Linked DNA regions of Lonchura striata. The protein of the gene in region 3 purifies or fractionates together with the protein of the main gene of each other region. This does not show direct contact. Links are inferred from orthologs where the notes say so. Each region holds a gene or a part of one and is shown on either strand. Other genes may lie near its edges. The genes, in order: CDC45, ATR, RPA2 and ATRIP.

Evidence for each region.
Region 1: the proteins of RPA2 (region 3) and CDC45 purify together in Homo sapiens (affinity purification with western blotting; 3 studies listed by BioGRID and IntAct, with this or other methods). This does not show direct contact. The link is inferred for Lonchura striata from reciprocal best matches to the Homo sapiens genes RPA2 and CDC45.
Region 2: the proteins of RPA2 (region 3) and ATR purify together in Homo sapiens (affinity purification with western blotting; 3 studies listed by BioGRID, with this or other methods). This does not show direct contact. The link is inferred for Lonchura striata from reciprocal best matches to the Homo sapiens genes RPA2 and ATR.
Region 4: the proteins of RPA2 (region 3) and ATRIP purify together in Homo sapiens (affinity purification with western blotting; 5 studies listed by BioGRID, with this or other methods). This does not show direct contact. The link is inferred for Lonchura striata from reciprocal best matches to the Homo sapiens genes RPA2 and ATRIP.

What each region holds. Positions count from the first base shown.
Region 1 is NC_134620.1:7,541,732-7,549,629, reverse strand, and holds the start of CDC45 (cell division control protein 45 homolog), read right to left. Parts: upstream 3,002-7,898; 5' UTR 2,939-3,001; coding exon 2,888-2,938; intron 1,686-2,887; coding exon 1,626-1,685; intron 1,329-1,625; coding exon 1,236-1,328; intron 819-1,235; coding exon 681-818; intron 97-680; coding exon 1-96. Other genes in the region: UFD1 (ubiquitin recognition factor in ER-associated degradation protein 1), read left to right, coding at 3,533-3,535, 3,674-3,806, 4,491-4,523, 4,915-5,036, 5,346-5,476, 5,872-5,944, 6,427-6,495, 7,016-7,081 and 2 more. UniProt on the Homo sapiens protein: Required for initiation of chromosomal DNA replication. Core component of CDC45-MCM-GINS (CMG) helicase, the molecular machine that unwinds template DNA during replication, and around which the replisome is built.
Region 2 is NC_134612.1:12,839,876-12,847,762, forward strand, and holds the start of ATR (serine/threonine-protein kinase ATR), read right to left. Parts: upstream 3,001-7,887; 5' UTR 2,993-3,000; coding exon 2,934-2,992; intron 2,295-2,933; coding exon 2,203-2,294; intron 1,301-2,202; coding exon 1,157-1,300; intron 618-1,156; coding exon 1-617. UniProt on the Homo sapiens protein: Serine/threonine protein kinase which activates checkpoint signaling upon genotoxic stresses such as ionizing radiation (IR), ultraviolet light (UV), or DNA replication stalling, thereby acting as a DNA damage sensor.
Region 3 is NC_134628.1:5,394,939-5,402,215, forward strand, and holds the start of RPA2 (replication protein A 32 kDa subunit), read right to left. Parts: upstream 3,015-7,277; 5' UTR 2,971-3,014; coding exon 2,955-2,970; intron 2,793-2,954; coding exon 2,680-2,792; intron 2,607-2,679; coding exon 2,505-2,606; intron 2,381-2,504; coding exon 2,267-2,380; intron 1,823-2,266; coding exon 1,748-1,822; intron 1,020-1,747; coding exon 906-1,019; intron 622-905; coding exon 511-621; intron 426-510; coding exon 331-425; intron 1-330. Other genes in the region: SMPDL3B (acid sphingomyelinase-like phosphodiesterase 3b), read left to right, coding at 3,368-3,660, 5,017-5,114, 5,605-5,748, 6,297-6,469, 6,611-6,791. UniProt on the Homo sapiens protein: As part of the heterotrimeric replication protein A complex (RPA/RP-A), binds and stabilizes single-stranded DNA intermediates that form during DNA replication or upon DNA stress.
Region 4 is NC_134614.1:7,102,293-7,109,775, reverse strand, and holds the start of ATRIP (ATR-interacting protein), read right to left. Parts: upstream 3,001-7,483; 5' UTR 2,989-3,000; coding exon 2,712-2,988; intron 1,515-2,711; coding exon 1,429-1,514; intron 428-1,428; coding exon 257-427; intron 1-256. Other genes in the region: protein BTG1, read left to right, coding at 6,181-6,298, 6,424-6,776. UniProt on the Homo sapiens protein: Required for checkpoint signaling after DNA damage. Required for ATR expression, possibly by stabilizing the protein.

The DNA.
Region 1 (7,898 bases), on a different chromosome or scaffold from region 3:
ATTCTCTGAGTCCTCTTCCTCCTCCTCCTCATCTCTGAAGATGTCATCATAAGCAGGAATATCGAGATCATCATCTTGCTTGACTAACAGCTTAATCTAGCAAGGAGAAAACTGTATTTTAGAGTAAGTATCTTATTTAGTGAGCAAAATGCAATCTTACTTAGAAAAGAAACCAAAAATTCATTTAGGCTGTATTAATTCCTGGCATAACAAAACTTTGGTTTTTAATGCAACTCCCGTACTGATTTATAGAAAATAAGAGTAAAAATCTATATTCCATTATTAGAGCATTACTGAAAAAATTATCATTTTAATGCTTGTTAAAATAAAATAATTTATGCTTAATACTTAAAATTCTAGGTGCTGCCAGATGCTGAGAAATAATACACGTTACATTCTGGAGGGATGTTTATCCTCTGATTTATGGCAGTTTGATTTATAGCAACAACATTAACAGGTGCTTACTACTGACAACTACCACATTGCTAACTTTAGACATTTCACTAGTGGAAAAATGATTTTTTTTCTGGTCATGTACATTACTACTGCAAATATTTATTTATTAATGCTGCTTTCTGACCTACAAGCTAATTTCTAACCAGTTTTGCAAGCACAGAAAAGCACTACACTGCTCACCACCACACTGTGGGGAGGCTTTTATTATGGAAGCAAAGTTTTACCTGGGTGTCATTGTAAACATTCACTACATTGATCGGTCTGTGACTGTCACATACAAAAAAAAAAGTGTCTTCTTCAGGCTGCAAGATTTCCAGGAGGTCTACATTAGCACCACAATTAATAAGAACAAAGTATTTGAACTGCAAACAAAAGCAGAAAAAGAAAAGAAGCTCATTACTTAAATTGCCAGAAAACATGGAAAACTGAAAATATGCTTACAAAACCCACAGAGCACTCATCATTGCCAAAACTTCTGTTTATTTTCTAATATTTGATGCCTCTGAGGCAGATTTTTTTTTAAAGCAAAACACAAAAACCTGCACCTTTTTATCTCAAAATGTGTGCAAACTCCATTTGACTCTATCAACACTACAGCACATTTGTGATGTTAAAAACTTGACAAGTTTATTGTTGGTATGTTAAAATGTAACGAGCTTTAAGAAACCATAACAATAATAACAATAAGTTAAGGGTTGACATTCTAAATTGGGAAAGGAAAGCAGTTTATCTTTACAAAAGATGAGCTACAGCCCAAAAATTTTCCAGTATTTTTTCACCTGATCTTTATGCTCCAGAAAGGCAGTTTCAAGCTCTTGCCACCCAGCCACTGGCACGAGTGTGTATTGCACGTGGTCACACTGAAACAAAGCCTGCAAGGAAGCAACAGCTGTGAGCAGAGGGGAGGGGAAACAGCCTCTCTTACAATGCTACACCAGGCTGAGTCTATTCTATACAAACCCTTAAAATAAAACCACCCCAAATGACAAATCTATATGAGCTCTGAGATTATGACTCCCCAGTTTTCAGTGCCATAACTCATGGAAACCAATGTTACAAAAGCAGATTAAAGCTTCCCCCTCTCCTTAGTTCACACCCATGTATAGGATCCTAGGGCATACATATTTTCTCATACTGTCAGCTTGCAGTGATAATGAACCAAGACTTACTTGGAGTATTTTACAAGCACATAATGCATCAACATCTGAAGCAACAAGAAGAAGAACACGCTGTAAAAATAACAAAATAATAGTATGAATAGGTGCCAAATAGACCATGCTGGTACATGAAATCCATGGAACACTGAGACACCAGAAATTCAGATAGAAATCATCACAAGCATAAAACAAGATTGCTTCTGAATGGACCTGCAACCAAAATTTGGATATCTGTCAATATTAAAAACAAGCAACTCCACCTATACCCAAAATGTGTCAGCTCCTTTAGGGATAGGTAATTACTGTTTCCTCTGGACCTCACATACTTCCACAGTTTCACACCTAGTCAAGCCCTACAATTATTTTCATAGTGTTTAGAATGGCCTTCGTTTTCAGCAGATTTGCAACAGTTTTAACTAAAAAAATCTGTAGCAAAAGCAAGGCAACTAGGGAAATAAATTCATTTAAATCAAGGTTGGCTGGTATTTTTTTGGGGGCGGCAGGGAGAGGGTTGGTTGGTTGGTTTTTTGTTTGTTTTGTGAGAGTGTTGTTTTAGGTCTTCAGGGAAGAGTGTTTTGACGTTTTGCTCAGCTGGAGAAATTAAGACAAATGCTTTCATTTGCACAGTCCATAATATCATTTCCTTGGTAGAAATGTTAAAAGACTGTCCAATAAAAGCTTCACCACCTTACCACAGTGAAAGGAGTTAACCAAGCCCTGCAAAAATACAAGCAGCAAACAAATGTGCTACAAGATTGCAGGAAAAACATTAAAGATAACAGAAAACAGTATTTAGTGTCTGGGCAAATAACATCAAAATGGTTATAAAGATATTTTTTTAAATGGTTCAGCGATGTCATGGTTAAGCCTGAGATCCAGAGCACACAAGAACACTTTTGCGGAAGGAGGCGAACCCTGAGTGAAATCCCCGGCAAAACCTCATCACGCTGACGCTGCTTTGTCCAGGGTTCCCAAGGTAGGGAAGGGGAAAACACCCGGGAAAGGGATTTTAACCACCCGGCTGACAGCCGGACCCGCCGCCCTCAGCGCGGCCGCCCGGCCGGTGCTCCCCGCCACCGACCCCCGCTCTGCGGCCCCAGAGCGAGACCACCGCCGCCCCGGAGCACCGCAGCGCCTCAGTCACCGCGGGCACCGACCCTGCGCCGTGAGGCGGCCAGAACACAGAGCGGGGAGAGCCCCAGGGGAGGCGGCCCCGCCCGCCGCCGGGGCGCCCCGGGAGCCACTCCGGCCCGGTCCCGGCGCGCTGCCCGCACCTGGGTGGCGATCAGGTCGTAGAACTCGCGGCGGCAGTCGGAGACGAACATGGCGGGAACGGGAGCGCGGCGGGAACGGGCGGCAGCCGCGGGCCGCGCCGCTCAAACTGAGCGCCAAACCAGCGCCGCCTCTCATTGGTCCGCGCCTCACGCAGCGCTGGCCAATAGGAACGCGCCCACCCCGCCTCTGCAGAGCGAGATGCCAAGTCCTTTCCTGGGCCTCGCCAATGGAATGCGGAGAATGCGGTGACGATACTCGCTGCTGACCAATCCCAAGAGGGCCTTGGCCGGAAGCACCCTGGCCTGGTCTTGTCGCTGTGTCCGCCATCTTTTCTGAGGGCAAGTTGTAAGCTTTGCCATTAAAGGGAGCTCGGAGAAGGGGCAGCAGGGCCGCATCAACACCCAGTGACCGAAGAGAAGCCTAGCGAGCAGAAGAGACTCCTGACGATGATCGCGTCGGAGGGCGCGAGGGCCCATCTTCCGCCCTCACCCGCAATGGCCGCCCGAGTGGGCGGCGCCGCGCGGCACGCTGGGAGGGGCGGGGCCTGGGTGGGGCCCGGCACGGCCCGTGAGGGGAACGAGCGGCGCTGGCCCGGCCCGGCCCGGCCCGGCGGCCCCGAGGGAGCGCCCGCCGCCGCCGCCGCCATGGTGAGAGCGGGGGGCGGCCGGGAGGGGCCGCGTCACGGCGGCGACACTGCAGGAGCCCTCAGTGGGTGCTGTGTCGCTTTGTGTGCTCTAGATACTGATGATTGCGTTCTTCTCTGTGTGTTGTTTTTCCCCCTCTAGTTCTCTTTTAATATGTTTGACCACCCCATTCCCCGGGTGTTCCAGAACCGTTTTTCAACCCAGTACCGCTGCTTCTCGGTATCCATGCTTGCCGGACCTAATGACAGGTCAGATGTGGAGAAAGGCGGGAAGAGTATGTGCATGTTTTATTTTGACTAATAAACTGTTAGAAGAGTGTTTTTGAATAGTTTCAAGTCTTGCAGCTTTTGGCCAAGGCAGCAGGAATATTGAAAACACGGTGACAGAGTGCTGAGCACCCTGGGCTGGGTTTGAGGAAGGAGGAGGGGTCATGTGCCATGCATTACTCGGTAACTAAAAATGATTACCGACTCGGGGTTTATGAGTATCAGAAGGAACAGACTTCATCTACAAAATTTCTTCTTAAAATCTTGTATCTAGTGTGAGCCATGGAAGTTTATGATTGAGGAGTTTCTCCCCTGCACCATGTTGTGCTTTTTAATTTGTATAAAGAAAGTCACTTAGTTTTCAAGGTGTCAGACTAATGCTATGTTGTTTTGAGTTGGGAGCCCTAACGAATAAAATTAGCTTTGGGAAAGTAATTCTTTAATAATAATATTGTAAAACCTTGTCTTCTCTTTTGTTTTTTCCCTGATTGTAATTCTGAAATATCCACATTGCAGGGATATTTGTCATGACTCATTCTACTGAACTCTCTGTCTAAAAAATAAATTTGAAGATTGTAGAATCTGCCCTTTTTTTAAAAGAGATTTTAGAGAAAGGAAGGATAAAATTGTGTGTTATGTACTCTTATACAGATGTACTTTTCCTAATTTCACATTCTTATTCATTTCTGCAGTAATTATGCCACCATCAGCTTTGGATCAACTCAGTAAGTGAATGCATTATTCTGGAATAACAATATTAGAAATAGGAGCAAATGTGTAGGCAAATACCACAGTATTTTACTTATTTATTTAAGTCTTAAATCAGTACTGTGAGAATAATTAGTTTAAGAAATGTATTTTAAAGGTATTTTTTCTGTCAGAATTCATGGGGCTTTTCTGCCTTCAAGCACAGACATATGAAATATTGGCCTCCCTGAGCATTTAAAGTTCTGAGTGCCGTGCCAACACTGGAGTTGTACATCTGCTTTCTCTGGTATTTTGAGCAGTTGGGATATTGGTGCGAGGGGCCCATTCTCTTGGTGATTGATCTCTGAAAGCTTCAGAGCTTTCAGAGGGGCTTTTAACAAAGCAAACTTTTTTCTCCTTTCTTACTAGGCCGCCTTAATATTACTTACCCCATGCTGTTCAAGCTGACCAACAAGAACTCAGACAGAATGACTCACTGTGGAGTGCTTGAGTTTGTGGCTGACGAGGGCATCTGTTACCTTCCACACTGGGTGAGCTGCCTCATGCTGGACTGTCAGAACCTGAAAAGTAGGATTAGGGAGTTGCCAGGCTTAATATTAAGGATGTGAATGTTTCCTGACAGTGCCTGTCTCTGCTGGTTGTGTTCCTACAACAGCCTTCAGTTCTGGCTCAGGCTTCCTTCTGCAGAAGTTTAACTTAGCAAAGCAGACTGCTTTTAACGTTCACCTGACTGTTTTTCCTGAAATTGAATATACACAAGAGCTGATATACACAGGAGAGAGATTTGAAAATATCAGACACGTTGATAGGGCTGTGTGTGTTTGTCTCCATTCTTGCAGATGATGCAGAATTTGCTGCTGGAAGAAGGAGGCCTGGTGCAAGTGGAGAGTGTGAATCTGCAAGTTGCTACTTACTCAAAATTTCAGCCACAAAGTCCAGATTTTCTTGACATCACCAATCCCAAAGCTGTGTATCCTTCCTATTAAATTATGGAATAAAGGAGAAAAAATTTGCTTCCAAATTGGAATGATGAAACAGAGCGAGCTTGTCTTACGTGGCTCATACACTTCCAGTAGTACATGGCCACTGCTGCCCCTTCTGAAAACAAAAGGGATGCAGAGCTGATGTACAGAGATGTGGTCAACTGTTGGAACAAAGTGTGGTCTGAAGAAGGAGGAGTGTTGGCTTAAAATCTAATGAGTTTTGAGTCCCCCTTTGAAGAATTTATATATCCTAAAATCCTATATGCACTGATGGCTTTTAAACCATGTTTGAGAAACTAAGGATTAGTGATCTACAGTATGGTGATTTTAAGGCTTTGATATTTCACTGAAAATAAATATTTCATCTTAACATACTGCAAAGACTGGAAAATGCATTGAGGAACTTCGCCTGTCTAACTACTGGGGATGTGATTGCCATCAACTACAATGAAAAGGTACAGTGTAAGGTTGAGGGTTGTAGACTACTATTAGTGTTGGATGTTGGTATTAAAACAATCAACTCAGAGCTATGCAGTGTTTTGGACAAGTAATCCCACGTGGCAGATTTCACAGTTGGCTTTCTGTTGGAGGGAAAAAGGAGTCAGCTAAGTCTTTTTCTGAGCTGCTGTTTAAATTTCTTTGGACTCACAAGAAAATAAATGTTTGTGCTGTTGAAGTTTTCACAAGTGAAGGGAAAGAATTTATCCTAAATTCAGAATTTGTTTTCAAAAATGGAGGTTAAAGTACAGTAAGAGTGCAGCAAGGTGCAGTAATGGGTTCTCTGGCTTCTAAAAACTTTTGCTTTTAAATTCTGTAGAGACCCTGCAATATTTATTCTTATCAACCTAAAGAGTACTTACTTCAGGTCTGGAGGGGAAGGTTTAGATATGCTTTCCTTACACATAATGCAATCTTGAAATATCTATGACTGTTTCAGATCTATGAGCTTCGGGTAATGGAGACCAAACCAGATAAGGCTGTGTCCATCATAGAGTGTGATATGAATGTAAGTTAAAGCTGATGGGGAAGGCCTGCCTTAACTGTCCTCCCAAGAGGGGAAGGCAGTGATAGCTCTGCACACCCAGCCCAGCTGATGCTGCAAGAAAGGTGCAATCCATGGGGTGGGGAAGATGACTCACTTGGGAGTACTCATGTGCCTTTGTAACCCCTTCTGTGATCCCGATTAGTACTTCATGCACCATCAGGTGACTACCATGCCTAGAATTTAATGTTTAACTTTGGCATGTTTTATCTGAGTTTTATTTAATAGCCTTGTCTTGACTCACACTCCAGTGATATTGTGGAGCTGTTTTACTGCTTTGTTTCCATTACATGCTAAGGTTAATTCCTAGTAGGCTTGGTCTTTTTTTAGTTCTGAGTTAAAATGTTTAACAACCAAACCTTAGTTCTTTTTAGCTCAAACGCAGTGGTAATAGTTCATGAAGTTTTGAGGAATAGTAGTATAAAGCTTATGATTTAATGAAAAATATTAATAATGGGTTTTTTCATGCTTCTTGTGTAAATAGGTGGATTTTGATGCTCCTTTGGGATACAAAGAACCAGAAAGAAGTGCACAACATGAAGAGACCGCAGTATGTTAAACTTTTGTTCTTCCAAAATGCATCCCCTAGAAGTCACTGTTGACTGTGGGGGAAGTGCCAACATAATTTTTTTTTTTTTATTTAAACAAGTTCTGTAGAGTAAATTTTACTTGCCAGAAGCCTTTGCATGTGTTACTTAGGGGACTGGTGTTTACCAACTGTTGTTTTAAGAAAGTGTCTTGGTTTGACAAGTGATTGTTCTGAAGTTTTGTTTGGCCAGAAATACTTGGAACAGTTTTCATGGCATGTGCATGTCAGAACACAAACAACATGAACTTGTTTTTCCCCTCACAGGATGTGGAAGCAGACCACAGTGGGTATGTGAGCGATATAGGATTTCGTGTAAGTGCCCTGTTTCTGCTGGTTTCTGAATCCTGTAAAATGGTGAGGGAAAGTTGTTCTGAACAACTGCAAAATATCAGTACCTGTTCTTATAGATGCTTGTTATTTAACTGGTAAGTGCCTGTGAATGTTTTGTGTCATCACAGCCAGGAGCAGCATGAATTGTTCTCTGCAAAGGGCAGATGAGAGGTTGAAACAGACTCCTACACCCATGATTCATCAGCTTATATGTACCAAAAAGAATCATGCTGAGTTAAATAACTAAATAAAAATTGCTGTAAGATTTTACAGATATAATGTCCTTGTGAAGTGTGCTTTCAAATGCCAGGAGTTCAATTAAAACTGATTATGTATCCACAGGCATTCTCTGGATCTGGGAACAGATTGGATGGCAAGAAGAAAGGTGTGGAGCCCAGTCCCTCACCAATTAAACCAGGAGACATCCGAAGGTATCATTCACTTGTAA
Region 2 (7,887 bases), on a different chromosome or scaffold from region 3:
CAACAGTAAGAGTGGTTCTCCAAAGAGTTCCGATTCCTCAGTATCCATTTCAAGTGCTGAATGTAGAATTTCAAAAAAGACCGTGAAGAAAACACTGGCCAGCTGTTCTGGAGGTCCTCCTAAATGAATTAACTTCACCAAAAACTTCATTGCCAAAGTTTTAACTTTTGGACTGCCATACTCTAACAGTGAGCAGCCTATCCCCCAGAGAATAATATCTTGTCTTACAAAAAAAAAGATATCTGCAACAATATTTGTCAGAATAGACATCAATACAACTTCCAAATATTCTATATTTGGCATACTCATCAGCTGTAATGGTGCCAATCTTAAATATCCCACTTTGTCACTTATATTGCTGGAAAATCTCTGTACAGTCACTGGCCAGACGAGTCCATCTCCCCAGAGATGCTTCTGTGTATCTCTTTCATGCAAGATGATTAAGTCTTGAAAAAGCTGTAGCAAGTCTTTAGTTAGTGCTTCAAAAATGGAGCCATTCTTCATTTTAAACAGAAAAAGTAAAGAGCAGATGACATCACAAATGTTCTTGTGCAATGTGTTGCAGCTTGGAGCTGCAGCAATACGAAGAAGCCTTGTTATGATCCAGTTACTAAATTCTAGGACAATAAAAGAGAATCTTTATTATTAAGATAAAAACTAAACTCTCCAACTGAGAACCTCCCTAAGAGCAGATTGCTTACCACTAAAACTAAACACATTGAGAGAAATGCATGTAGGCATCGTAAACAGAGTCTTCACTGGGATATTTATTCAGCAGATCTCATTGAAAAAGAGGAAAAAAAAGAGGGGGAAGAACATGGGGGTTGGGAATGTAAGACACACACTTTACAGTGGAATTTCTAGACATTTTCCTCTGTCCAAAAAACACCCTCAGGCAATGAGTACATGTACACCATATCTCATCAACAGTATATAATGATATATCTATGCAATGGTAATGGATAATGTCAAAATCTGTCCCGAGAAATTTCCATTATCACAAGTGTTAATCCATTCACAATATTCAAAGTCTATCATCATATTAACTTATAAATTTATAATGATCAACTTACATATCTGCCTTTTTTCCCATTCTGTTGCAAATTTAAATCTTGAAAATACCAAGCTTCAACATAAACATTTTCAACAAACTCACCAATGCAACTGCATTCAGTTTCCTCCTGATTTCCATCCACATTTACAAACATAAGTGGGGAAGACTTCATGATATGTTGAATAAAATCCAGCAACATCACAGAACTTGGCTGTGAATCTGATTTCTTAATCAGTTCCAAGGCAACTTAAAAAAAAAAAAAAGAAGAAATCAGCATGGCAATAAACCACATAAAATTGCGCTTACACTTTATGAGAAAATAAAAAATATAAAATATTATGATATGGTATTAAACCCTTCAAAATATTTATTGAAAATATGTTTATTAATCTATGAAGATAATTGTATGCATATTGTAACCCTCTCTGTGACTCCAAACTGTATGAAGAAAAGTATGAATTACTTATTAAATATTATTAACCCCAAACGCATTAACATTCAGTTAAAATTCTATCCAACTGTGTATTGAGTGAAGAACAGCAAATACTTAACATTTCCCTAGGTTTACAGTCTTGATAAAAAAACAATGCTGGGAATTGTTTCAAATGCCCAGAATATAAAAGGTTTTAAATGGCAAAGTCAGCTTACTGAAGCAGAAAGTTTAACAAAACACTGAACATATCTAATGCTGCTCCATTGAAACAGGTATCTGACTCGTATCAGATTTATCCAGATCCTGCAGGGATCCTATCCAGTGTTAGTTAGAACAAGAAGGAAACTATCTGAGATTCAGACAAGATTTTAGTTCTGAAAGACACATGTGAATATTAAGAATTGCAAGCTCTGTTACTCATAGCAGTGACATTACATGACACTCCTGCTTTTCAATGTTGTGAGCATTCGTTTCCATACAACCCTGCACTACACTCACCCCTCCTTCCTTGGGGGTCTGTGTGTATGGTTTATTTACAAGGGAACTTCACATCCCAATGCGAAATACTTCATCACTGACTTTATTAAAAACTAGGTAATAAAATGGCATTGTATTCAACTAAAACTTTCTTAATAGTGTCTTAACTTTTATTTTTGGCAGGAATTACTTAAAGTATAAAGCAGACAGTTTTATATTAGAGGATTGCAATGCTTACCAACATCTACATCTGTAAGAATTCTGTCAATGAATTGGCAAAGTATTTGTCTTGGTTTCTGCACAACTGTGTTGTATTCTTCTGGACTAGCACTGCAATTAGAATGATATATTGATGTTACCAATTGTAAAGTACAAAATAATAACTTGGAAGTCTATCTCAACAGTTTAATGTTAAACACTCATTTTCTTCTAGAAGTCTTCAAAAATAAACATAAATGGTTTTCTTGGTGGTGTATAGTGGTTTGAAGGTGGGGGGAGGCGTGGTTGGGGTTTTTTTTCAATTTTCTTGTTTTAGTGACTGGCCTGTCCCACAGCAATCAGGTCTCGTAGGGTCACATCTTCGGTATACAATTGTACCTCCACATCAGCTCGCTGTTTATTGCTGTACAAAGCTACAGTGCCCGTGCTGCCATTAACACTGCAGAGGCCGGCATGCTGCAGCTCGCGTGGCTCTCAGCGAGCGCTCACAGCACACGCAGCCTCGGACCGGGCACTCTGAGGCACCAGGCCGCTCACGCCGGGATGTGCCAGCGCCACCCGGGAGGGAGAGAGGAGCACCGGGCAGGTGGCGGGAGAAGGGCCCAGCTCAGGTGAAGGCGCGGGCCCGGCCGCAGGACACCTCGCACACCTCCTTGTCCCCCTCCCCGCCACACCTGCCGGGCGCGCCTCCCCAGCGCAGCCAGCCCCGCACACACACGCCCTGCACGGCGGCCGCCGGGCCCGGCCTACCCGGCGAGCTCCCGCAGCGCGGGGATCATGGAGGCCATGCCCAGGCCCTGCTCCGCCATGGCGCCGCTTTGAATCAGGCGGGCGGCGCGGGGCGGGCGCGGCGGGACGGCGGCCGGCGGGGCCCAAACCTCCTCCCCCGGCGCTGCTCGGCTTTAACCGCTTCGTCCCCGGGCGCGGAGCGGCCGCGGCGGTTCCGAATCGGTCCCCGATGGCTCCCGCGGACCCCGCGCCGCCCCGGCGGGGCTCTGCTGCGCGGAGCGCTGCACGGACAGGTAACACCCAGCGGGGCCGAGCGCACCCCGCCCGGCCTCGGCCGGTTCGGCAGCAGCACTGAGGGGCCACACGGTCCCGGCGGGCGCCTGGCGGAGTACGGGATGCGCGACAGGAAGCGCCGCAGCGCTGGAAGTGGCTTAAGCGAGGAGGGGAGCGCCCGCGCTGTGAGGAGAAACTTCGCTGCCAAGGGAGCGCTCGGTGCAGCTCCCTCTCCGCCCGCCGCCTGCCCGCCCCGGCGGGACGCACCCGGGTGTCAGGTGCAGGACAGCTCCGCCGGCCGCCGGGACCGGCCCCAACGCCCCCGGCCCGCCCCCGCCATCGCCCCGCCCGCCCGGGCTGGCCCGCGGCAGCAGGTGGTGGCGGGACCCGGCGGGCGCCGGCGCTGCGGGACGCGGCCGCGGGGCAGGTGGGCAGCGAGCGGGGCCGGGGCCGCTCTCGGCTGCTGCCGTGTGCCGGGGCCGGCGGGAGCGGGGCCGGGGCCGCTCTCGGCTGCTGCCGTGTGCCGGGGCCGGCGGGAGCGGGGCCGGGGCCGCTCTCGGCTGCTGCCGTGTGCCGGGGCCGGCGGGAGCGGGGCCGGGCCGAGGGCGAGCGGAGCCGGCGGGCGGGCGCGTTCGGCAGGTGAGCGCGCTCGGCGCTCCTCCGCACAGGTAGTGGTGAGCAGCGTGTGTAAGATAGAGCTTTTCTCTTTTGCTGTTGTTGTTACTTTCTGAGCACATGTTGCTTTGCGTTACGTTTCTTTTGCGAGCCGTTGGCGTGTGTAGAGTTCGGAAGGTGCCGCGGAGAGCCCCGGAGGGACGCGAGGCGGGCGCTGAGCGGGAGCGTGTGGCCCCACCTGGGCAGCGAGTCCCGAGCGTTCAGGAGAAAAAAGAATAAAACAAGGGCTTATGGGCAGGTGTGAACTGCAGAGAGAGTACGCGAGGGGACACTCAACTCTGAGCTTTGTTTTTGTTACTATGAGCTCTGGCTCTTTATGCATTTGTTTGTGAAGTTTGCTTAGCGTTGTTTCTGGGTTGAAATAAAATCCTCTCGGAGGATAATTCTCTTGCGTGTTTCCACTGTGCTAGGGCTGTGTCGCTTGCATGTAAAACAGCCCACGTGTGTTTCAATTACTTGAACCATTTCAGATTAATGCTTTCGGGAACCTATTGCTATATTTCATTCAGAGATAGTTATTTTTATTCTGCAAAATATATGTTTGTCATTTCAGTAAAATTCTGCTGGCCTCTTTAAAGGCCGGTAAATTGGCAAGGACCTAAAATACTTAAAGAAACTTTACAAAATATAACTGGGTTTTATCTTAGTTTGGTTTTCAGCATGTATTGCAATGTGTTCTACTAGCTAACTTTGTAAAATGTTAGTCTTTCTAGAGTAATTCCTAGAGAAAAAACAGGAACCCTGTTTTATGTGGTTTGTTAAAGTAGGATTTTAATGGTTCAGAAAGACCAAGTACATCTGGGTTTTGTTATCAGTGTTATTTTGGACACAAGATTTTCTAGACCATTTCAATTTAAAGTATCTATTGTTGTGAAAACAATGTTCTGAAGTGCAAATTTCCAAGACTGAAATGACAGTCACACTAAGGAAGGTGTAAACTGTACTGCATGCCAATTTAATGTAGAGTTAAAACTCATGTATCAGCCCTGATGAATGTAAGAGAGAGCAGGATACTGTTGGTATATTAGGAAGTTCAAGAAGACCCTGTTATCCTAAGAAATAAGCTAAATTTAGTGAATCATAAGGTGATTGGTTTTGCTGGTAAAACATAGGTGTGGTACATAAAGTGCTTAATTTTAAACAGTGCTTTTTCATGGGAGTCTCTGGAGTCAACAGTGAGATCATATTAGTATAGTTATTGTAGAAATGCTTTCATTTGTCACAGGTAGAATGCTACATGGATTTGTTGTGTTGTTTCTGTGAGCATTTACTGAGCATGTAATTCAGGCTTTCTTCTTGTTTATAATAAGTACTTCTAACAATCAGCAGAGAGATCTTCTGCTCCCCATTCTTACTGGGAATTTTACTTCCCAGTTGCAAAGCCCCATCTACTGACTTTTCACCATACCATCAAATTTCCCCAGCTACCATGGTGCTAGAAGATTCCACATGAGAGTGCCCATAACAACTTCATTGGGCTGTGAGGATGCTCACACAACCTAGCGTTGTATAGACCCTCCAGGGAAACAGCACCTGAAACACCTGGTTTCATTTCTTGCTTTTCTTAAACATGGGATAAGCATCTCATTGTTTCTTTCTTATCTCATTGTGTTGCACTTTATGTCTCTTGACCCCCAAGAGGAGAAGCAGGCATGTTACCACGTGTGCAAAGAGAGTCACTAATTGTTAATGAAGATAGTGTGCCTGGAGACCTTCCGTTACTGTCCCGAAGCTGATTCATATTGGTGAAAGGAGGCTTAGATGAGCAGAGCCCATCTTGTAGAACTTGGGTCAGGGGAAGAAATTTATGCAGATAGGTACAACCTAAATGTCAAATTCAGTGTCAGATACAGCACTTCCAAGATTTCTGCTAAAGCTGCTGTTACTTTTTTTTTTTTTTTTTTACTCTTTTTTTTTTTTTTTTTCTGTTCACTTCCCTACTTGAGAAGTCCTCTCACTTTATAGTTGCATGATTCTTCCACTCAGGCCTCTCTCTTTCTTGGCTTTCATTGTTAATTTACCACATGCCTCTGCTGGTCATTGTACTTATTTTAAGACACTGAGTGACTTTGCATTGGACCAGCAGGTCTGAGAGGACAAGAGCATGTTAATTGTACTTTTATTCCCTCTGTTGTTTAATTCTGAGGCATGATCACTGTTCTGGGGGCTCATGTGCTCTGTGGATGTGTGTGAGCTGTTCCCCCAGGAGGCTGGTGTGACTGCAGTTCCATCTCAGCTGTCCTGCGGGCAGACCAAAGGATCCCATGGAAGTGCACATGAGTGATCCCTGATGCTTCAGGAGCAGAGAGCTGTGACCTCACAAGCTGACAGCGGTGGTGAGGGGAAATGCAGCTCAGATGGTGCTCGGGGGTCCTGTGAGCTGGACTAAGTAGTTTCACTCAGTGTCAGGGTGTGCTTAGGGCTGCTGCAGTAGCACCGAGAGGCTGAGTGCTCCAAGCCACGTTTCCCTAGGCACTCATGCAGGTGCCTGACCTTTGGACACAGGACACTGCTCCTCTGCACTGTAAGAATGTGGATCTCAGCACTCGTGCCTTTTATCTCTGCCTCTGTTGCTTAGTCAACTGGGCTGGAATGAAGTGGCACAGATTAAAATTCTGTGTCACCCTGAATATTGGTGTGATGATTAAACAAGACAGTAAAAAATGGAAACAGTAAATGGTGGTAAGGACAACAGGCAAGCCAGAAACCTAAAAGCAGATTACGTACACCCGTACAAGAGGGAAAAAAAGTGGGAAAAGAAACCATGTACTACTAAAATCTATTTAATTTCTAAATATAATCTTGTCAGATCCTAGTCCTGCAAGCACTTATTCATGTTTTTTCTATGAATAAGCCTACTAATACTGATAATGTAAAATACAGTATTTAGTCATTTGGAGAAATGGCAGATTATAGATTTTTTTGGAACCTAGTTTTATTATTTGTGTAGCAGCAATTACTGTTTCTTTGTTTATCTGCGACTGCTACTTTTAAAAATAGTTGCCTATATATTTTTTCCTTACTTTTTTCTTGCTTCCCAGTATTTCTAGAAGAGTGTTATTCTTGAGGCTAGTAGCTGTGGAGGAAACTCTCAGAGCTATATTAACCACTAGTATCAGTGTATCATCAAGACTTTTCTAGTTTATAATTTCTGAATGAAAGTTAAAATTCCTGGAATCTATTTTCCTAAATAAAAATCTACAGTCTGGAATTTACTCTTTAAAAAAAAACTTGTAGCCACAGTGATGTTTAAACATCCCTTGAAGTCTAAAATTCTGTACTAAAATTGTGCAGTGTGCATTTAAAATGTCATTTAAACTACATTTGAAAATTCTAACTGTTGAAATTATGTAGGTTCTTTTATTCTAATATTTCTTCAATGAAAATCTGAAAAACTCTACCAGCTACCATTGCTCCAGTTTTCAGGAAGTTATTGTTTTCTGAGAGTCTTATTAGAAGCTACAATTTTCCATCTGATTCTGTGTTCTGTACTGGTGAAAACTGGAATAGAGTTTATGTAAGAGGATATTGATAAAAGTTCTGCTAAATGTCCACTTTCCCCATTGTGTTGCTTACTATAGAAATCGGTGCAATGGAGGAGGGAGAATGGGAATTCATGTTCTTTGTCCTTTTTCCATCTTTTTTTGGAAAGCAAGTAAATTAAATCTGTATGTAGTGGAGCACTATTTATCACTTCTTTGTTCCTTGGTGAGTATTTTCCCAGTACCTAGAGCTTTCACTACTCTCTGAGGATTTTGTCATTAGACTAGACATCAGCTTAACAGCCTGCTATATGGAAATACCTAAAGTGAAAAGTTTAGGCATACTCTTATATGTAAGACTTCATGTGAAGTCTCTGTGTAATGTTCTGCCCTTCTTATTGCAGTAATTAATTAAATAAAATACTTTCATAGCATTCATCATAATGTCTGAAATACTTCACGTCCATGTTAACTGTTTCCTTAAAAGCTCCAAAAATCACCAGGTCTACATAAACAGATTAAATAAATGTAGGGCAGGACTACCA
Region 3 (7,277 bases):
GACAGTGAAGTAGAATAGGAGAGACTATTCCTAGATTTTTATCAGTGTGCAGAGAACAAGGTAGTCTTTGAACAGGAGAAATGCTACTGAGGCACTGCAGTACGTTGCCACTGAACTGATAAAAGGCTTGTTTTGAAAACAAGGAGCAAAGCAACTGGCAACAGCTCATTCAGGGCAGTGAATCTTTCAACAGCTCTGGCTCCTGTGCTGCTGGGACCACCTGAATTACCCACCCTGACTCACAGGTGAGTGTCTGGACTTGTCCACTGTTCTCTGCCTCTGGAAGGACTGCCTGGATTTCCATAGCATCCTTCATTTCTACACACTTACTTGATTGTTGACATACTCATACTGTGGAGCTGGAACTTCAAGTCCTGTAGACTCATTCCCTCTGGGACATGGCAGCTTTTGATCAAGTTCAGCACCTGGATGAGCAAGAACCACACTAGATCACACTGGAGCAGCCTCTGCTGCCACTGCTGTGCTCCCAGAAGAGCTGCTGGCACCCACCTGGCTCTGGTGCGCCGTGAGCCCGTTCACTGGCAGGCTGCCACCTCCTCCGTAGCCCCCCATGTCACTTATCCCAGTGGAGGAAAATGACTGTGGCCCTCTTGATGCTGACTGGAATTAGGAGAACAAAAGTGCTGTGGTTACCCAGGCTGCCCAAGCCTGCAGTGTTAAAGACTCACTGTTATTTCTAAGCCAGTAAGTAAAAATAGCTTCTTATGGAAGTGGATTGCAATCTCTCTCCAAGGAAGCCAGGACTCCTGTTACACCTTCAGCGTTGCTCAGCTTTAAGCTTTCCAGCCCCAAAATGAAGGAATTTTCCCAGTGAAAGGTCCCTCTTTGGGAGATCACCAGTCACCCAGGAAGGGCCACAATAAAATCAGGGTCTTTGTACGTACCATAAGATTTTTTCTGAGGATCATATGTGCATTGACAATTTCCAGTATGTGTGTGGTGAACTCATTCATATTTTCCAGAGGCATGATCTTAAATGCTACCAAGCTCTTCTTATTCTTTCAGAGGAAAAAAACAAACACAAAACAAAGAAAACAATTTACAGCACAGCAACATGACAATGCCTAACAGCCAACCCAGCCATTTCCTCCAGGAGGGTGGGACAGCAGTGGGGAAAGACCTTCTCTGTATGTAGGTCATCCAAAATGTTCTGACACACCTCTTGTGCTGGTTTGGGCTAGTAACATGGGCTGGTGTTGGACTTGTGCTGGAAACATTGTTGGTGACACAGGGATGTTTTAGTCATTACTCACCAACCCTTGCAAAGAGCCAAGGGCTTTCCTGCTTCTCACACAACTCTACCAGTATTAGGCTGGGAGGGGACAAGGAGCTGTGAGGGAAACAGCTGGTACCTCCACTGCCCCACGGGAGAGACCAGCCAGTGTCATGCTCAGTTAAAAAACTGGTGAAAGAAGGAGGAAGATGCACACCTGCCTGCCCATGGGAAGCATGGAATGAATTCCTTGTTTTACTTATTAAACTGCTTTTATCTGAACTCATGGGTTTTTTTACTTTGACCCTTCTGATTCCCCCCATCCTACTGGGAGTAAGCAAGAAAGCAGTGGGGGAGAGATGTGATTTTGAAAGACAATGGAGACAGTGACTCCTCTTTCTAAGCAGCTGGGAATTATCTGCACCTTCCCTAAATGCACATACACCGTTATTTGAATATTTGTGCCACATGGAGTGCTACAAGATTCACACACAGGTACACATACACTCTTACCTGGAAGGACCGAAGGTGACCAGCCACTTTAACGTAAGTTCCTGGAGGTACCACAACATTCTCACCTCCTGCCTCCTAACAGACAGGGAAAAACAGGTTTGCTGTTTCCTGTTTCCATTTCTCAACAGTCACAAGAAGCAACTTAGCAAGGAAGGCTCATCTCAAGCAAGCACAAACAACGTGCATTCCTATGTCATGCTAAACTTGCAGTAAGACTGAACATCTGCCTGGTTACCCTCCCAAAACTGTTCAAGTGAACTCAGCTATACTAAACAGGCACAGTCATATACACCGCCAGTGATCTCTGCTGCAGCAGGACCTCCCTTTGATTTCAGGGACACGTTATCCCTAAAATACTTTCCAGAAAAGCCACACCTTTTGGGTTCAAAAAGCTCTGTGAGAAGTAGGGAGTTGGTGTTCATCAATGATCCGAGATACTGTATAATTCTACAGCTTTTGTCCACCCACTGCTCCCCAGAGCTGCTCAAGAAGCCTGTTCCTAGCAAATCCAAAGCTTACATCAGTATCAACCCACTGCCGGACGTCCATCGGGGCTGCCGTCATGTCGTCCACTTTGTAGAGGATGTTGGTGGGCGCCTTCTCCGCGTGCCGGACGATGCCCACCACGGTGACCTGCGGCGGGGGAAGGAAGGGTCGGTCACTCGGGCCGGCCACGAGTGACCTGCGGCGGGGGAGGGAAGGGTCGGTCACTCGGCCGGCCACGGCTGCTGGCGGCCGCCACCGCCCCGGCACCCACCTGCGAGATCTCCACGTCGCAGATCCGGAAGGTCTCGTCGACCTGCTCGGCCGCCAGCAGCTGCGACACGGTGCAGGGCACGATGTTCTGCGAGCGGCTCCGCTGCGAGCGGCGGAGGGGCCGTCAGAGCCGGTCCCGGCCCCGGGCCCCGTCCCGCCGGCCCCGCCCGGCCTACCTGCTTCTTCTCCGCCTGGCCTCCGGCGGGCGACCCGAACCCGCCCGGGGACTGCGTGTAGCCGCCCGGGAGCCCCGCGCCGCCCATGCTGCCGTAGCCGCCATCGAAGTTCCCTACGGGGGGAGAAAGAGGGAACGTGACGCGGCGGCGGGGACACGGTCCCCTTTCCCAGCGCTGCCGCCATCACGGGAAGCGGGGCCCTCGGAGGGGGTGTCCCCTGGAGGGTCGCCCGGCCCCGCGCCCCGCCCGGCCCCGCACCGTGCCCGGCCCCGCACCGTGCCCGCTCCACATGGCTGCGCTCCGGACCGCCGCCGCCGCCCGCCCGCGCGCCGGGCCCCGCGCGCCGCCGCCTGCCCCCCAATCCGGGAGCGCCGCTCTGCCGGCCGGCAGCCAATCGCATCCCTCCGCCTTCCGGCTCTGTCCAATAGGAGGAGAGCGCGGGGAAGCCGCCGCCGCCGCCGCCATTTTGAGAACGGGCGCTGCCCGGCCTGGCACGGATGAGGGGGCGGGGCCCTGTGAGGGCGGGATTGTGGTGCCGGCCGGGGCCCTGTGAGGGCGGGATTGTACTGCCGGCCGGGTCCCGGTGAGGGCGGGATTGTGGTGCCGGCCGGGTCCCGGTGAAGGCGGGATTTTGGTGAGGGCGGGATTGTGGTGCCGGCCGACCCCGGTGCCCGCGGCGGTCTCTGCCATGCAGCCCACGCGCGAGCTCCTGTTGCTGCCCTTGCCGTACCTACTGGCCGTGGCTCTGCCCGGTGCGGTCGGCGGCTCCGGGAGGTTCTGGCACCTCACGGACCTGCACTGGGACCCCGGGTACGAGGCGGCGGCGGCAGCGGGACGGCCGTGCCCCTCGGGCGGCGGTCGGGCCGGGCCCGCCGGGCCGTGGGGCAGCTACCTGTGCGATGCGCCCTGGAGGCTGCTCCGCTCGGCCGCCCGCGCCATGCGGCGCCGCCTGGCCGCGCCGGACTTCGTGGTCTGGACCGGGTGAGAGGGGCCGGGCCCGCCTGAGGGACCCCGGGGCTGGGCGGGACAGGGGCGGCGGAGCCCGCACGGAGCCCGTGGTGTGTCGGGGCTCTTTACGCGGTCCCCGCTTTGAAAGGGAGAGCGTGCCTTGTAATGCGAAACAAGGGCTTGGAGGAAAGCACAACCCCAGCGAGGGCGCTCGACGCTGGCGAGACGCTCGTGGCAGTGAGGTGACAAAACGCTGTCCGTCCTTTGTGCATCCTGTCCGATCCCACAGTGAGTCGTAGCACCTGGAATGCCCAGGGGAAGCAGCTGCGGGAGGAGAGTACTGTAAACCAGCTTGTAGCGTTTCTTCTGGTTGCGAGGCGGCTGGGAGACCTGAAGGGACAGTTCTGCTTCAGGAGTCAGAGGAACCTCCCCAGTGGAGGATGTTTCTCTCCTAGTATGGGTTCCAGGGGTGGGTCCCCTGTCCTCTGGGAGGCCCCAATAGCATTTGCAGATGGTAAAAGTTTTGTTTTGCATAGTGACTGTGTAGATAGCCTTCTTCTGATAGTGCAGTCTCAACTTGCTGTAATCTCCAGTTCCAGTTTGCAGGGCTGTCACCTATCTCATGTTTTCATTTTCTGTCCCTGAAGATGCCTGTTCTTACTTAGATGTAGTTATTGGTTCTTGTGACCTTATGTTGAGTATTCTTTTTCCCTCAAGCAATTTTCCCCAGCCCTCTGACATGATTTTGAATGTTCTTTCTCTCCAGTGGGCTTGTGGACAGTCCAGCATCATCTACAAATGCTGTACAGACACAGACATGGAGCAGCCCTAGATTGCTGCATTACTAGAGGCATTTCCTTGTTTCATGGTGATCACAGCTGTGCAAACAGCTCTGCCTCATTATTGCAGATCAAATGCCCTCAGATTGCAAAGTGCTGACCCTTGCAGTGTTTCCAGTCAGCTTTAGTGCTGCCTAGGAGAAGGGAGCCTCCCCTTCACGCCCTTCTGCACAGGAGTTTTAAGGTAAAGCGAATCCTGGAATCACAGAACAGCCTGAGCTGGAAGGGACCCACAGGAATCATGGATTCCAACTTCTGGCCCTGCACAGACACCCCAGCAATCCCACCCTGTGCATCCCTGAGAGTGTTGTCTGAGCACTCCTTGACTCTGGCAAGTTTAGAGTGGAGCTCATTTTCCCTGTGAGCAATTTCTTGAAACTCCCTCATTGTCTTGGCCAGTCAATATAGCACTGACTTCTGCACCTAAAAGCTTAAACTTTCTCTTCTAGGAGGCACAGAGAGGAGTTGGCAAGTTCTGTGCCCTGCTCATTGCTGTAAGCACAGACCCTGTTAGTCCCAGACAGTGACTGTGCTGCTTCTCTTTTTCTAGAGATGACACTCCCCATGTCCCCAATGAGGAGCTCGGAGAAGAAAAGGTTCTGCACATAATAGCAAATCTGACTTCTCTGATAAAAGAGACATTTCCAGGTAGGATTTGAGGAGATGAGAAGGGAAGAGGAGCATAGAAGCTCATGGGAAAGGTTAACCAGGATGGAGAAATGACAGAAGTGAGACAGGGAAAGGGCTGTGGTCAGTGGGACTTGTTTGGTGGCCTCAATTCTGCTGTGCCATACAGCATTGATGCACACTCATGTTTCAGGTTAGCTTACTCAGGAGAGGGGAAAGGAAGGGTTTCTGTTGTTAGTAATGAAGGCAAAAAAGGCTGCAGGAAACTCTCAGACATAACCTGTGTCAGCAGGGGGCAAGGAGCATTACTGCTGGTGACAGCTCAGTCACTTGGCTCTGGGTGGCTTGTCCCAGGGGCGGGTCCGAGCCATGTGGTGCCCTGGGCAGTGTCAGCCCGGGGCAGAGGATGGCTGCCTTGGCAAAGCTCTGTTCCCAAGGCTGGGAGTGCCTCGGGGAGCTTGGAGGAGCTCTGCACCACTGACCTCCTGCCCCTCCTTGGCTCTGTCTCCAGGTACCAAGGTCTACGCAGCGATGGGCAATCATGACTTCCACCCCAAGAATCAGTTTCCTGGGAAGGAGCACAGGATCTACAAACAAACAGCAGAGCTGTGGCAGTCCTGGCTGAGTGATGCCTCTCTTCCTCTCTTCAGAGCAGGTCTGGCACCACTGGCTTGTGTTTAGAGCATGCTGGGGATATGAGGAGGGGTAGGAGAATACCATGAACGATTTTCCTTGTTTCTATGCTCAGAGCAGCAGTATTCATAGAAAATTTGCAGAGGTAGGCTCCAATTTAATGCTGATTTCTGTCTTGGAACTCTGCTTGCAAGAAGAGAAATTATTTTATACTTTAGTCTCTTCTGCCATTATCAAGTTACTGGAAAGAATGCAGTGGTGACCTGCAAAGGGAGGAAAAATATCTTTAAAGGTGGCAGCTGGTGCAGGCAGTGCTGGGGCTCTCCAGAGCTGCCCAGCTCCTGGTGCTGTCCATTGTACCCATTCAGGTCTCCCTTCACTTGGGGAGACACACAGGAAAGACTCACTCCAAATCCACATCCTGGAGTGGTCAGGGCACCGTCCCAAGCAGTGACCCTGCTGTGGCTGTTGCTAAGAAGAACAGAGAGAGGTGGAAACAATGGGATCTGGGCTCACAGCCACCCATGTGAGCTGATCTACAGCTCTTCCTCTGTTGGTTTCATTTTTAAGGAGCTTTCTACAGTGAGAAGCTGCCTGGCCCAGGGATGAGGGGACGGATGGTTGTCCTCAACACCAACCTGTACTATGACCAGAATGATGAGACAGCTGGTGAGGAGGATCCTGGGGGGCAGTTCCAGTGGCTGGAAGAAACACTGACCAACGCCTCTAGAGCAGATGAAATGGTATTAAAAAGACTGAAAAAATAAAGCTTCTCCCCAGCCTGGAAGCTCTTCCTGCTCTGCTCCCTCTGGGTGCAGCTGCAGCTGGCTGGTGCTCCATGGGTGGTGTGGGCTTTGTGCTCAGGGCAGCTCTTGCTTCTGTAGGTCTACATTGTGGGACATGTCCCCCCTGGCTTCTTCGAGAAGAAACGGGGCAAGCCCTGGTTCAGGAGGGGCTTTAACGAGCGGTACCTGGGCATTGTGCAGAAGCACCACAATGTGATTGCTGCCCAGTTCTTTGGGCACCATCACACCGACAGCTTTCGCATGTTCTACAGCCCCACAGGTACCTGTTCTGGTCACCCGAGCACCTGTGTGACAGCTCTCACAATCACTGTCCATCAGGGCTTTTAGTGGCTGTTGGCTAAAAGCGGCTAAGAAGCCAGCAAAAGCATCTGACATGCTTTGGGCAACAAGAGGCAACAGTGGTTCTCATCTCTACCCCCAGTCTGTAGCTCCTGCCCTCCTTCCTATTCACCCTCAAATATTATTTTGCCTTAATGCTTGGCAGCTTCTTGCCTGCTCCCTCTTGAGGGGTTTGGGCATTGCTGAGGGAGCAATGCTGAATCTCTGTGTGTGTGTGGGGTGCTCTGGGCGAACATCTTTGTCGAGTGTGGTTCCCTGGCCACCCTCACTGCAAGAGGCTTTGCCAGCATTGGAGAGCCCATTCCCTGTGCTCAGTCCCCAGCATGGTTCCACGTGTTAATCTCTGTGTGTGTGGTGGTACTGGGAGCTGGTGACAAAGGTGCTGTTGGCAGTGCAATCTGCTCCA
Region 4 (7,483 bases), on a different chromosome or scaffold from region 3:
GCAATGTTCTCAGGATGGCTTCAAAAAAGCAGTACGTAAATGAAAACCTCTACCACCTGAGTTTCACTACTTTATTTTGGCAGGGGAAAACCTTCAACAAGTTCTTACAAATACTTTCTTCTAGGTAAGAAAATAAAAGCAAGCATTGTGGAAATTTCACACAAATGTTGTTCCTTTGACTAAATGGTCTGTGACATCTTTAAGTCATAAATCAGCTTCTGCAAGTGATCTGCAGGTAACTGACAAATTTACAAACCTTTTTGGAGAACTCTTTTTCTTTTTCACTTAAAATCTGAGATTTCTGTTCTTCCAGTAGCAGGTATGATCTTTTCTGTTCTTCCATAGCATACTCCATCTGCTGCATTGAGTCACGCAGAATTTTAATTTCTCCATTTTTAGTGAGAATTTCATCCTGCATTTCTTTCAGCTGCAAACAGAGGAGTTACATTAAAGGATGGATATAGCCAAAAGTATGCATTTGCATCAATATGTGGTTGAAAATTAGGTGTATTTGTAATTCCTAGGAAGAAAAATGCTCCTGGTAACCTAGCTCAGAAATTCTACACATTACCTCGAATTTTTCCCTGATTAAATCAGGCTCAGCTACTGTTTTCTTTAACATAATTCAAAATTACAAGATTATCCTTATCTTTCCCCTCCTCTGCAATTATGCTTTGGATTTTTAAAAAAAAAGTGTTCTAGTCACACACATCAATAATTAATTCATTGTTTGGATGATAACAGTGATAATTTAATTACACTACTACATCCATCAGGACAGCCAACAAGCACTCTAAGAGAAGGTACCACCCCCAGAGAGAATCTTCATGACATTGAGTCTCTAACATTTCCTGAGCAGCCACTACCACTCAGAGACAAGACTTTGAGGATAATAAAGAAGTTACTCAGAAAAGCAAGAAGAAAAGATCAGAAAGACACTTCTCTACAACTGAAATATTAAGATTTAATACAGTATACAAGTAGGAGATTCCCTGATAAAGGTGGATATAATAGAGCTGGGACAGATACAGAGAATGGAGAAAGGGAAACAGAGAATCTCTCCATAAATGACCACTGGAAGGTAACGTAACATAAAGCCACTTGAAAGTCACCTCACTTTCTCAAACCTTTTAAGTTAAACAAAACAACTCTGGCTGATAAAGCAGAGAAATTATTTGATAGGGAACAAATAAAACTGAAAAATTAGCATTTGCTAATCTGAAATTACCAAGAAATAAAATATTGTTCTCACTCTTTAGTATTACTGAAGCTGTTTCTAGTACAATTATTGTATTTTAATACACCCCTGGATTACAAAAATTAGATCACCTTGATTAGAATTAAATGCTTGGGACTGGATTTATCCCACCTTTCAGTTGTTCCTATCAAAAATGTAATATTTAGAGGAGAAGGGAGGATATTGCCAACCTTCCGTTTAACTTCTTCATGCTGTGTCTGCAGCACTTCAAACTGGAATGCATCTCTCATCAGACCATCTTCTGCTCTGCTTCCTGCTGCAGGGAAAAGCCAAAATCTGAAGCACAGATGATGAATGTGCATCACTGGTGACTTAACACCAAGTTTTGTTATTTGTCATTGCATACATCTGAATATCTTAGTATTTTACTGTCATTACAAACAGGTAAACTGCCCCATCTAGTCACCACAGGAATTTTGCTAGTGCATGTGCATCAATTCTTATAACAGAAGAATCCCTGCCCCTTCAAATTTTTAATTACAGAATGGTTTGGGTTGAAAGGGACCTTAAAGATCATCTCGTATCTTAAACCACCAAGATGACCCACAGCAAAAGCAAGCATTTCTTCTGAGATAACTTTAGTGAATGCACAAACAAGGGCTCACTGAAAATTTAACTCACCTGGTGACAGATGTCAGGGTTGCTAAAACATACTTAGATTACTTAAGGTCTCTAAGGTTCATTATGAAGAAACCCCTGCTTTTGTTTCTTTCAAAATAAACCTGAAAGTCAGCTGTTAATACAAGGCATGCTGTGCATTTATTAGTGGAAAATAAGAGGGGAAAGAAAATCTGAAAGCCAACATGCTACTAGAATATAACACCTAAAGCATGTTGAAAGTTTAGGAAACTCGAGTTTTTTATTTGGCAGGTTTAACATGCAGCACCCCTGTCCCAGGCTGGCATTACGACACACACCCCAGGCAGGGCTGCTGGAGCTGTGGGATCAATGCAGTGCTCCTGCTGGGATTGTTATCCTCGTTATTCCTCTGAATGCCAGCCATCCCTCTGACCCCGGGCGTACCACCGTCGGGTGCTGGTGGCCAGGGGAACGGGCAGGATCAATTAATTCTCTTAAGGGAACTTACAAGAAAGATGGAGCAAGTCTTATTTACAAGAACCTTTAGTGACAGAACAATAGGAAGGGGCTTCACGCTGACAGAGATTTAGGTTAGATATTAGGAAGAAATTCTTCCCTGTGAGGGAGGTGAGGACCCGGCACAGGTGCCCAGAGCAGCTGTGGCTGCCCCGGGATCCCTGGAAGTATCCAAAGCCAGGCTGGCCGGGGCTTGGAGCAGCCTGGGACAGTGAAAGGGGTTCCTGCCCGTGGCAGGGGGTGGCACTGGGTGGGCTTTGAGGTCCCTGCCAACCCAGCCATTCCGTGCTTGCTAAAGGGACACCGAACGCTTCGGCAGCAGCGGGGCAGTGAGGGGCAGCCGCCGGGACACACCGACCTTGCCGCGCGCCCGGGGGCAGCTCCGGCGCTCCCCACGCGTGTCCCGCGGGCGGACCCTCCGACAGCGCCTGCGAGGCCAGGATGTCGATCTGCTCCAGGTCGTCCGCCGTGAAGTCATCGCTGTCCCCGAAGGGGTCCATGATCCCGGTCGCGGCGCTCTTGGGGCGCTTGTGCGGGGGCAGGACGTTCCGGAGAGCCGGCGGGGCGGCCGCAGCGCCGCTCTCCCCGCAGAGCGCGGAGCCGCTCCGCTTGCGCGGCCCGGGCAGCGCCGCCATGGCGGGACCCGCGGGGCCGCCCCGGCCGCGCCCCTCGCGCGCCGCGTCTCCCGCCAATCGCCGCCGGGCAGCCCTTCCCACACAGCCAATAGAGTGGCGGCAGCTTCAGAGCCGGCTATAAGCGCTCCCAGGATTGGCCGCGAGCTGCCGACATGCAAGCGCCTCGCTGATTGGGAGAGACGGAGGCGGGAAGGATTGTCCCCTCAGCGCTGTGAGGGAAGGCGCTGACGTCACGCTTTCGAGCGATTACGTCAGGCTGGACGGTGACGTCACGGCGAGGGTTGTCCCGCTGCTGTCAGACCTGGCTTCATCCCGGGAACGATGACGTCACGCCGCAGCCGCAGGGCGGCTGTGACCCGTCCTGTGCAGCCACAGACACGACTGCCCTCGATAAACTGGGACCTCTAGGAGAGTCAGGGAAGTGCAGTATTTGCTAAAGTCCTGTGCTAAACCCTCATGGTTAAATTACTGGCGTTAACCTGCTTTTGTAATCATATATGACCCGTTTTTAAATGTGGACTGAAAAACAGAGTTTCCAGCTCTATAACTCACGTGGTGTGAGGCCACAGCTATGTTGATAAACCTTTTAAGAGGAGACCAGACGATAGTCTTACAGCACGTTTTTAAAACACAGCTACAATTTTTTTTCATTTCTACAAATCAGTTTACAAACCCCTTGATGGTCTTTGAAGTGAAAACCACTGTGCTAGTGTGACATATTTCCAATTGTGTTATAGAATTCTGATTTTTCTTGCTCATTTCGCTATTGCCCGTGACATGCAGGGAAATTGGGTTATCACTGGAGGTAATTTTCTTTTTCCGTGCAGTGCATGAGCAGCCTGTGAGGAGCCGGTAGGGCCCAAAGCAAGCCCTGAGCCATCGCTCCCAGCTGTGCTGAAGTGGCAGCAGGGATCCCAGTGGAATCAGCAGGTGGGAACAGCTCATCCGCTCAGCTCAGGTGCACGCAGAAGGGGCAGCCTCAGAGGGCAGGTGCTCTTGTAGCACTTTAGCTTTGAGGTGCTGCTTAAAGGTTTATTTTTGTTTCTCCAAGAAGTTGTTCTATCAATTATGTACCAAACTGGGGGAATTGTGAATGCTTTTGTTGCTCAAAACACTGAAGGTACTATTATTTATGTTTGGAATTATTGCTTTTCTCCCTCTAATGGGAATGGTAACATAATGCTTGTCTTTCTAGTCTTGCCATAAAGTTTCTCCTTGCTTTTAAGAATGGTTTCATCTTTTTATATTTAGAGAGAGATGCTTTGAACAGATGGAATAAAAACAAAATTTCTTGTTTAGTTTAAAACCTCTCCTGGCAATTTCTCGTGCTCTGTTTCTGCTGCTTATGTTTAAAGAGACATATATTGAGAACTTAATCTAAGTAATCTAAAAGGAACTGGATTTAGACATTACTTGTTCTTAATTCTGGGTTGTTTTTGTTTGTGTGTTTTTGTTGTTTGTTTGTTTAGGATTTTTGTTTAATAAATTAGTAGGATTATGATAGTATGACTATTTTTTATTATTGCTCCTTTTAAATAATAGTATATTGTCTGAGTGGTATACTTTCAGTTTTACTTTCTCCTCTTCTGCTAGCTGAAACTGAGGAAAAATAGAATGGTAGAACACTTGCACAGGCTTTATTTTTAACAAGATAAACCAAGATACTGACTTCGTTTTCCTCTACTCCAGGTGTTCCTGCTAAAGAGAAAATGACTTGCAGAGGATTAGAATAACAACAAAGTAAGTCTGACATGTAGAATTTTATTTAAATACAGCTGCTCATGGAATAATTTTTGGGCAGGGGGATGAAAGTAACACAGTTACATATTTGCTGATTTCTCATTTTTCTCTGTCTTGCTTACACTGAGTCTTAAATCTGAAACTCCCTGAGGAGAACACAAGAAAGCAAAGCGTGAGTTTAGAAGCTACCTGACAACTGTGGCATTCTTAATTTTTGTAGCCAGAATTTCTTGTTTCATTTGAATATTCCACTTAGGACTAATGGATCCAGGTGTCAGGCCTCAATCCATGTAAGCAGTTTTAGCATTACCATTTGACTCTTGCAATACTTTTAGCTACAACTCATCTGCTTTCTACTATTACCATTATTTTAGTTTACTCATGAGCAAGTTAAAACCAGGGCCCTTAATGTCTGTCCTGGCTTTAGCAGTATCTTGTTTTACTGACTTAAGTGTAAAATCACTGGGGTAATAGGGAATTTGTGCATTTATTCATTTGGGTGCACATACATTGTGGAAGGAGAAACCTCTTTAGCATAATTAAGCATTAAGCTTAATAACTTATGTGTGGATTTGGACAGTTCTTAGTGCTGCTAATGGTAAGTTTATTCTAAATGCTAGTAATAATTCTGTGACTCCAGTGCAAGCGTTTCTTTGTCTCTTATTTCAATGAAGATTGATGTGAATATGTTTTGTGTTCTAATTCTCAAAACACGGAGTAAATCAAAACTGAAGTGGATGACTGAATGAGTCCAGGTACCAGCAGAGATTAAATTTTTAGCTTAATTCCTAAAGTATGAGGTAATAAAATGCAAATAGGACTTCGGTGAAAATTTGTTATAATAAAACAGCATCTTGATCCAGACCTGAGAGTCGGTTAGGAGGGGAGTATTCTGGGTTTTGGGCAAATGTCAAGAGTTTTGTCTTTTGCTGGTCGAGGGAAAGGAAAACCCGCCTGTCAAGGATGACCTCGGAGCTGCGTGTCTGAGATGGAGGGGGTTTTAGTCTGTGCTTGTATTGGGCCCTGAGAAAAGAGAGGGAAAAGGGAGCAAGGCAGGACAACGGCGCCGTCTGCCTGGAATACGGCTGCGATGGAGCTGATGGAGGGATGAGAGGAGCCGCCGCTGGCCTGGGGTGGCGGTGAGGGCAGAGCCGTGGGGGCAGAGCCGGGCCGGGAGCGCGGCCGCGCGTTGCAGCCGCGCGTTGCACCCGTTAACTCCGTTGGGGTGAAGGAGCGGCGGGGCCGCGCCCGTGTGCCGGGCCCCGAGCGCAGCCCGGCTGGCCGGGCCGCCCGTGTGCCGGGCCGCCCGTACGTCCGCGCCGATCCCGCCCCATGGGCAGCACAACAAACCCGCCCCGTCCCGCCCGCGCCGTGCGGCTGTTGCGCGGAGCCGCCCCCGGCCGCGGGGGCCGGGCCCGGCCGGGCGGCGCTGGCAGCGGGGCCGGGGCGGACATGAGGACCGAGATCTCCACAGCGGCCGCGTTCGTGACCCGCCTCCTGCGGGCCGCCGGCGGGGTCGGCGAGGAGCAGCTGCGGTGCTTCCGCGAGTGCCTGCAGGAGGCGATGCGCGGTGAGTACCGGGGGGGCATCCCCTCTTTCCATCCCCTGCATCCTTGCCCTGCATCCCTCCCGCATCCTGCGGGGTCCGGCGGAGCGCAGCCCCGCGCAGAAGCTCCTCTTTGTTCCCTCCCGCAGAGCACTACAGGCACCACTGGTTCCCCCTGGTGCCCTCCAAGGGCTCCGGCTACCGCTGCATCAGGATCAACCATAAGATGGACCCCTTGATAGGAAAGGCGGCGGGGATGATCGGACTGAGCCACGAGAGGCTCTTCCAGCTCTTACCCAGCGAATTAACGCTGTGGGTCGACCCCTTCGAAGTGTCCTATCGCATAGGTGAGGATGGGTCTATCTGTGTGCTGTACGAAAGCCCCCAGCCTGGAGGGAAGGCGGCAAAACAGCTGGAGAGCAGGACCAGCTGCAAGGAGGAGTGGAGAATTGGCAGATCCAGCCCTTCCAAGAGTTACAACATGATGACAGTTTCTAGTTAAAAACAACTCTTCCCTGTACGATGTTGTATGTATCCCAACCTCATAGTAAAGTCAGATATAGCTGAGCTTTTTTTGTTTTTAATTATTTTTTCACCCTATCGTCATTAAAATCATGGTAGTACTGCCAAATTCTTTGTGGCCAAGGGCTAAATGTATAAAGCAATTCTTTACACTGCATGTTCCTTTCTGAACTGTGTCCTGTAAATGCACTGTACAGTTGGTGGATTGTTTTACACATTTATATTTTCGAAAAAGTTTTGCGTATTTGTAATAAAAAGCAATATTGTAGCACTCTTTATGACGGGTTTTAGTCAAAATTAGTACTTGCTAAAAAAAAAATCTGCAATTTGCAGAACAGTAACACAAAGAGGGGTAGGAAACAGATCTAACATAAATCCAGTGATTTGTCTGCACAGACTTCTCTCAGGGTCATTCAAGTTTGACTGTGAGGCACAAATCACCAAAATAACTCTCTATTTTCCCTTTTTCAAAGCATGCATTTATTTGAGGGCTGGGTTCCATCACACCCCAATATTTTAGCAAAAAGAAGCGGGGAATTAGTTTTCTTCTTATTTCTAGCTATGGGAGTAGAAAAATAAAGACTTGCTTAAATGATAAAATTATTCTGACTTGTTTTGGTGGTGTGCTGCTTTTTTTGTTTGGTTGGTTGTTTTTTTTTTTCCCCAGGCTTTTAATACTGCTCTTAA